Mus musculus: one gene and its partner. The protein of the gene in region 2 interacts with the protein of the main gene of each other region in a pairwise test. Links are inferred from orthologs where the notes say so. Each region holds a gene or a part of one and is shown on either strand. Other genes may lie near its edges. The genes, in order: Mavs and Ddx58.

Evidence for each region.
Region 1: the proteins of Ddx58 (region 2) and Mavs interact in binary tests that used the Homo sapiens proteins (3 or more experiments, as listed by UniProt). The link is inferred for Mus musculus from reciprocal best matches to the Homo sapiens genes RIGI and MAVS.

What each region holds. Positions count from the first base shown.
Region 1 is NC_000068.7:131,232,663-131,237,043, reverse strand, and holds the start of Mavs (mitochondrial antiviral-signaling protein), read right to left. Parts: upstream 2,982-4,381; 5' UTR 2,917-2,981; exon of another isoform or gene 2,689-2,916; intron 1-2,688.
Region 2 is NC_000070.6:40,233,227-40,237,038, forward strand, and holds part of Ddx58 (antiviral innate immune response receptor RIG-I), read right to left. Parts: intron 2,157-3,812; coding exon 2,022-2,156; intron 1-2,021.

The DNA of each region.
Region 1 (4,381 bases), on a different chromosome or scaffold from region 2:
TTCTCTGTATAGCCCTGGCTGTCCTGGAACTCACTCTGTAGACCAACCAGGCTGGCCTCGAACTAGGAAATCTGCCTACCTCCTCCTCCCAAGTGCTGGGATTAAAGGCATGGGCCACCACCACCCGGCCCCAAGATTTATTATTTATATTTTATGTACTTGAGTGTTTTGCCTGCATGGATGTCTGTGTACCATGTTCCTACAGAGGCCAGCAGAGAGCACCCACAGATGGTCGTGAGCTGCCACGTGGGTACTGGAACTCAAACTCTGGTCCTCTGGGAAAGCAGGCAGTGCTCTCACCCACTAAGCCTTTTTTCCAGAACATCTAAGCTTACATTTTAAAAAATACACCACTTTTATCTGTTCACTCATTTATTATTGCATGTATACGATAGGTGTGTAATGTGTGCACACATGTCACAGCATACACATGAAAATTGGAGGACGATTTTTTTGTGATTTGGCTCTCTCCTTCCACCTTGGCTTCCAGGGATTGAACTCGGGTTGTCAGGAGTGCACAGCGTGCAGTTTTACCTACTGAGCCATCCCACCATTTAGACATTGGCAGTGCCTTAAATGCAAGCATTGCTTACGAAGCACCACCATCTGTAATCACGTGTTTTGATTACTTGTCTCTTAGCTGTCCTCCACCTTGGGGAGAAGAGAGACAAGATATGCCACATCCAATTTAAGTACCATTGGAGTGGAACAGGCACCAGATCCATTAGCACATACCCAAATGACAAGCCCAGGAAGTAAGTCTGATTATTTAGAAAGTAAAAGGAGACAGTGGGACAGAACTCCAGGAGGAAATCCCTGCTTAAACAGAGGTGATCCAGGAAAGCCGCGATTGGTAACATCTCACTGAATGATTTTCCATTGTGAAAAGACTGGAGTCTGGGGCAGAAGGCAAAGCAGATGCCAAAGTTCTAAGATGGGATGGAATCTGGAGTGAAGAGAATCTAGGTGAGTGACGTTTAAAGCTGAGGGGAAGGACAGAGGTCAAGGTCAAAGAGGCCACCAGCACGTAAGGTGTTGTGGGAAGGACTTTGGGTTTTACTTGATGTGATATGGGGAACCACTGGAGAGCCTGGGCTCTGATTTGCACTGCAGAACTCTCTGGAGGTTCTAAGGTCTTTGAGAAGCCCAGGATGGAAGGAGGGTGACAAGTCAGGGCCCTGTGAGAGGATGATGAAGGGTGTGGCCCGGGTGGCAACAGAGGGGATGAGCAGCTATATTCCTGGTGCTTTGTAGACAAGGGAGGTAGGGTGGCAATCAAACATGGCTTCTTGGGAAGTGGGGCAAGGAAGGTGCCATTTACTCAACTCTAGGGAAGGCAGTAAGAAGCCATGGAAAGATGGCCCTTCAGAGCTCCGTTTTGACAAGTTTAACAAGCTGTTGGTTTCCAAGAGTATTGTTCAGGAGAGAAGAAGGAAGGGATAGAAGAGGGAACCAAGTGCCCATCATGGAGTCTGAGGCCTCTGAGAGACAGTGCAGGGAGTACCCACGGCTGTTGCAGGTGCAGGCCCCTGCCACGTGGGAGGCGGGGTGCCAGTTCTGCCTAGTGACCTCTGCCACTGCTAACTACCAAATGCTACATTCCTACAAAGAGCTAAGGATGGAAGGCTGGGAGATCAAGGAGATAAGATTGAGGTCTGTTGAGCCTTCAGGGGATGAAAAATGAGGCCTCTGTAGAGGCCAGCCTGATGAAACCCTTCCTCCCCCTTTCCCAGGTCACCTAGAAAGATGTGACGATGAGGGAGTCAAATTATTGGTTTTCTGCAGTCCAACCACAACTCTGAATGCAGCCTGGGGGCGGGGAGTGGCATGGAGCCCCACCAAAAGCAGAGGAAGCTCACAGTTATTCATTTCTCGAAGGTTCTCTGTTAACAGAGGCAGCCTGAGGTCCTTTTACTTATGTCCTTTAACACAATCACAAGAGAGGAAGTGATACCAAGCTACACGGCTGACCTGCAGTGTGGAATTTGTACCCAGACTTGTTGCCATGACCTAACAGCATAGAGGTCCCTGCAGCAGGAAAACCACAAAGCCCCTCTTTACACCAAGGTCACTGCCTGGGGATGTGACTATAGGGTGAGAAGATGCAGCATTTAGGCTCTTTGAAGACATAAAAGTCTCTCAGACACAACTGGCATCAATGCTGCCCTTACTGACATTCACCTGAGTTCTGAGATCGAGGCTGAATGCCCTTCAAGTTTTTGAAGCTTCCCGGTATCCAAAGAACATTGTTTTCTGCTTTCTTTTGATTTCATCCTTTTCCTCAAACTTCTTTCTTATATCAGACCCTTTCTTATAACAGAAAGGGAGGTGGCAAGAGTGTCCTGGACACAGCAAAGCTTCCGACCTGACTTCCACAGAGCTTCTGTCCGGGTCGTGGAAATAAATATCCACACTCCCGAGGGACAAGTCTCCTGGCCTCGGACTAGATTCCTGTCGGGACTCAGGTCTCCAAGTGCAGGGAGGCTGTTTTGAACAGATGTTATTGCCTGCAACTGCCCAGATCCAGGATCAGGCCGTAGCCCGGACTGGCAGGCCTACTCCCTGGCGCGGCTGCCACAGGTCGTTGCTCGTAGCCAGGCCTCGCTCGAGTCACCAGGGCCTGGGAGAAGCAGGGGGCACTCCGAGGTTCTTTCTGTCCAGCCTGGGCAAACTCTCGGCACCACCTACCTGCTTGCTAAAGGTGCTGGATGCGGATCAAGGAACTGCCGGGGTCGCGAATCCGTGTGTGGCCGACCTCATTCTCCCCTAGTTCAGGAGCCTCTCCGACCCCACGCGCCCAGGCCCAGGGCGCCCATGCGGACTCCCAGGCGTAACTGGCCCTAGCCAAGGTTCCCTCCCTGAAGGATCTCAGTGAACACAGAGTCCTGAGCACCGACGCCCAGGCTGCAAACTTACCAAGAGAAACCAGACTAGGCAACAGGTTGACCGCGTTCGACTGTGCAGAGCCCTCGCAGATGAAGGGGGCGGGACGAAGCCAGCCACGCAGCTATTGGTCAGGCGTGGGGAGGAGGGGCGGGATCGGAAGCGCAGTCATTGGCCTGGCAGAGCCAGACTGTGATAGAGTTGGAAGTACGGCTGTTGGCTGGGCTGGGGATGCCTGGGCGGAGCTGAGCTAGGCCGGTCGCAGGGCCAGTGGATGAGTCCTGATGTTCCGGAGCGGCTGGTCTAGCGGCTGGTGCCCCGCAGGCCTTGCTTGAGGTCTCTTCTGATTTCCTGCAGGTGCATTAGGGAGATTGTTTCTTCCTGCTTAGTCTAGAACACTTTTCAGGGGAAGTCCAGATACCCAGAAAACTGCAGTTCTTAGATTCCGTTCCATTCCTCAGGCAAAGCAGATCTTCTAGCCAAGTACTGGAGGAGAGAGGGTCTTCATGTGATCTGCTCCTATGTCTCCAGTGCTCCATAAACGTAGTGTCGCACAAAATGTCATAGGGACATGAGTGCCTAGCCAGATGACACCAGCTGGGCTGGTAGGAACAGGATGCAGCAAAAGACTGCATCTATCTGGGGATATGCACCAAGCTACAACCGCTTATAGCTCCAACACCAGGGTAACCCGACTCCTCTGACCTCCACTGGCTTACAGAGACAAAGGAACGAAAGCTTTTCGCTTCCAGTCAATTCTTTCAACCAGAAGTAAAAAACGAACATAGTTAAAAAGAAATCAGTTACCTCAGCACGGCTAGATGGTAGAAATGTCTTATAACTCGATGTAGGTGGAGAGTACGCAGCTGGAGCACATGTAAAAATATATCAACTGGGGCTGGTGAGATGGCTCAGCAGGTAAGGGCACTTTTTGCCAAGCCAGAGATCTGAGTCTGACCACTGTAATCTGCATAATGGAAAGAGAACTAACTCCAAAAAGCATTGGCATTTATCACCCCTCCCATCATAAATATAAAACAGGAAAAAAGCTGAAAAATGCATCAATGACATACTTAATGCTATAATCTCCTATCTAATACAGTTTTAAAGACAAGCCTAAGGGAGCACTGAGGTTAGAGCTGCCACCATGCTGGAACTCTTTGAATGAAATTAGATTTTATTACTGTTTGTTTTAGTTAGGGTTCCCGTTGCTATGAAGAGACATCATGAGCATGGCAACTCTTAGAAAATTTAATTGGCATTTGCTTACAGTACAGAGGTTTAGTTCAATGTGGTCATGGCAGGAAGCAAGGTGAAGTAGGCACCATAGCAGGCAGACATGGTGCTGTAGAGGGGCGGAGAGTTCTGCCTCTGCATCCTCAGGCAGCAAGAAGGAAGAGCAAGTCACTGAGCCTAGGTGGAGCTTCTGAATTTCTTCAACAAGGCCACACCCACTCCAATAAAGCCTCATCTCCTAATAATGCCACTCCCTATGAGC
Region 2 (3,812 bases):
ATGTGCTAGGTAAGTGTTGTGGATAGCCCTGGGGCTAATTATATTTGATGGTAATTCCATTCTGCATTGAGTGGCTGCGAACAAGGAATGAGTCAGCACTCCGGTGATTTCCTGTAAACCTGCTTCCCACCTCAATTAGTAAAATAAAGGAGAGCTGGTGATTGGGCTGATAAAGGGAAGTTGGAGAGGAAGGTGGGAAGAGAGAAGGAGAAAGAGGAAGAGGGAGAGGATACCACAGAGGAGGAGGAAGAAAAGTGGAGCAGAAGCACACAGCCTGGAGAAACCGCCTGGTGGCGCACGCCTTAATTCCCAGCACTTGGGAGGCAGAGGCAGGCGGATTTCTGAGTTCGAGGCCAGCCTGGTCTACAAAGTGAGTTCCAGGACAGCCAGGGCTATACAGAGAAACCCTGTCTCAAAAAACCAAAACCACAAAAAAGAAAAAAAGAAAAAAAAAAGGGGGAGTCTCATAGATGGAGAAGATGGTAGTGTAGCGGTAGATCTGCCCAATCTAGGTGCACAGCATGTATTCATATGAATTAAGTCTTGTTTTCATTGCCAGGGCTTATTTGGAATGGAGAGTAACTGCAACAGCTAAGGGCTGGGGAGATGGCTTAGCAAGTAAGGTTCATCGTGTTCTTGCAGGGGACTGGGGTCAGATCCCAGCACCCACGTCAGTCCCTCACAACTGCCATTAACTCCAGCTCCAGGGGAATGTCTGACCTCTAGGCAATGCACTCATAAATGCATGCCCACTCTCAGACACACACACACACACACACACACACACACACACACACACACACACACACACACAATTCTTAAAACGAAATAAAAGGGTAAGATAAGCATGTATCACTGAGATGCAAATAGATAATGTATCAAAATGATGGTCTATAAAGCAGGAAATAGAAAGAATAAGTCAATTGTTAATCCTGGAAATAGCAGGAAACCAAGTTTTATAACAAATGACATTTAAACCCTTTTACCGAATTAAAAAGAAAAGGAAAAAAAAGCATTAGTTTTTATACAACTGCTGCCAACATGCTGCCAATGTGTGGCTTCCTAGGGACCGCAGCACCCGAGGAAGGCAGCGTGTTTGCTTTAACAGTACCATGTTAATTCAACACACCTGTGTTAGGATGTGATGGATACAGTTCTTGCTGAGGCCAGCCATGACTGGTGGAGCTCACAGGGATCTGCCTGCCTCTGCCTCCCCAGAGCTGGGATTAAAGGTGTGCTTCCCCACCCCCCACCCCATCCCCCAGCCGACTGACAAACACTCCAATACAATGAAAGCAACAGGAGCCCTTGGCTTTCTTTGGTGTTTCTTTCTTACTACACTGGGCCGGGCCTGCTTTTTCCCATTTCCCATCCCCCGCCCCCCCCCCCCCATTGTTGGTAACACTAAAGTATTCTCCTTCTTTCACCAGTGAATAAGCTAGAGTGGCAGAGGGGCAAGAAATGTAATTGCCTAAGTGTTAGAGTCCAGGAATTGCCTCACAAACCACAGGACACCGATCTCAGTCAGACAGGGAGAGTTTATTAAGCTTACTCCCCAGGACTGGTCAGCCAGGGTCGCCCAAGATCCAGTTTCCTTCCCTATATGTTTAGTTTGACTCATGTGGAACTTTATAGCTATTATAGTTTATGATATTCAAATTTAAATGCTGCGTGCCTACAGTTCAGCTGGGTTGTCATTTACAGACATGTCCACACGCTTCATTGCAGTATAATGGAGCACTGTAAACATTATAAAACCGATTTATTTACTCGTTCTCCTCTTGAAAGATACCGGCATGCTACTAATATTGTCACCTCTCCTAGTAGTTACAACTCTGTAGATTGCTTTGGATATTTCTGGTATAAACCATTCTCTTATCTGATTCAAAATAGTCTTTACATTTCCCGCCTGAGGCAGAAGCCACACACAGATGTCACAGAACGAGTCACTTTTCTCCCCTCAGCCTTCTGAGGCAGCAGAGTGAAGTACTCTGAACTGTGAGGAAGAAGAAGGAACCAACCTGCATGGTACAGGGCATCCAAAAAGGCCTGGAACCAGCCCTCTGACTGCAGCTTCAACAGGTACTGGAGGAAGAGTGAGGCAGCTTCCATTGGGCCCTTGTTGTTCTTCTCAGCCTGAATGTACTGCACCTCCTCTGCAAACAGAAGCAAGGGCAAGTGAGTAGCCTGCAGAAGCACTAGTCACTGGAAGATAACAGACCAGACCTTCCCATGTGGGTCTGGGAGTCATAACAACTCATGGAACCAGAAGACCTTTGAGAGGCAGCAGACTCCACTCATCCATCCTCGCACACTCCCGTCCTCCACTCCTTCATGTATGCACACTCTCGTCCTCCACTCCTTCATCTATGCACACTCCCGTCCTCCACTCCTTCATCTATGCACTCTCCCGTCCTCCTCTCCTTCATCTATGCACACTCCCGTCCTCCTCTCCTTCATCTATGCACACTCCCGTCCTCCACTCCTTCATGTATGCACACTCCCGTCCTCCACTCCTTCATGTATGCACACTCCCGTCCTCCACTCCTTCATCTATGCACTCTCCCGTCCTCCTCTCCTTCATCTATGCACACTCCCGTCCTCCTCTCCTTCATCTATGCACACTCCCGTCCTCCACTCCTTCATGTATGCACACTCCCGTCCTCCACTCCTTCATATGCACACTCCCGTCCTCCACTCCTTCATGTATGCACACTCCCGTCCTCCACTCCTTCATGTATGCACACTCCCGTCCTCCACTCCTTCATCTATGCACACTCCCGTCCTCCTTTCCTTCATGTATGCACACTCCCGTCCTCCTCTCCTTCATCTATGCACACTCCCGTCCTCCTCTCCTTCATCTATGCACACTCCCGTCCTCCTCTCCTTCATCTATGCACACTCCCGTCCTCCTCTCCTTCATGTATGCACACTCCCGTCCTCCACTCCTTCATGTATGCACACTCCCGTCCTCCACTCCTTCATGTATGCACACTCCCGTCCTCCACTCCTTCATGTATGCACACTCCCGTCCTCCACTCCTTCATGTATGCACACTCCCGTCCTCCACTCCTTCATCTATGCACACTCCCGTCCTCCTCTCCTTCATCTATGCACACTCCCGTCCTCCTCTCCTTCATCTATGCACACTCCCGTCCTCCTCTCCTTCATCTATGCACACTCCCGTCCTCCTCTCCTTCATCTATGCACACTCCCGTCCTCCTCTCCTTCATGTATGCACACTCCCGTCCTCCACTCCTTCATGTATGCACACTCCCGTCCTCCACTCCTTCATGTATGCACACTCCCATCCTCCACTCCTTCATGTATGCACACTCCCGTCCTCCACTCCTTCATGTATGCACACTCCCGTCCTCCACTCCTTCATGTATGCACACTCCCGTCCTCCACTCCTTCATGTATGCACACTCCCGTCCTCCACTCCTTCATCTATGCACACTCCCGTCCTCCACTCTTTCATCTATGCACACTCCCGTCCTCCACTCAAGTTCCCCACAGTAAGCAGAAGTCGCAGTGGAGGGTGTCACATGGAAGAAGAAAGGCTTCCTCCTCTTCTTCAAAACTCTGAAGCAACTGCTGGACTAAGGGGTTGGGGGTGGGTGGGAATGAACGCCCTATGGCAACAGTAACGAGTATAGCTGATGCAGCAAGCATTTTGAATTACAAATACATTTGTGGTCTTTCATTCCAATTTTTGCTAAGAGAGTAAAAGAAACACAGCAGAAAAGTGGAAGGGGTGGGGCAGCTAAAGAGACCAGGTTGACCAGGTGACAGGAAATGCTAGCAGCTGC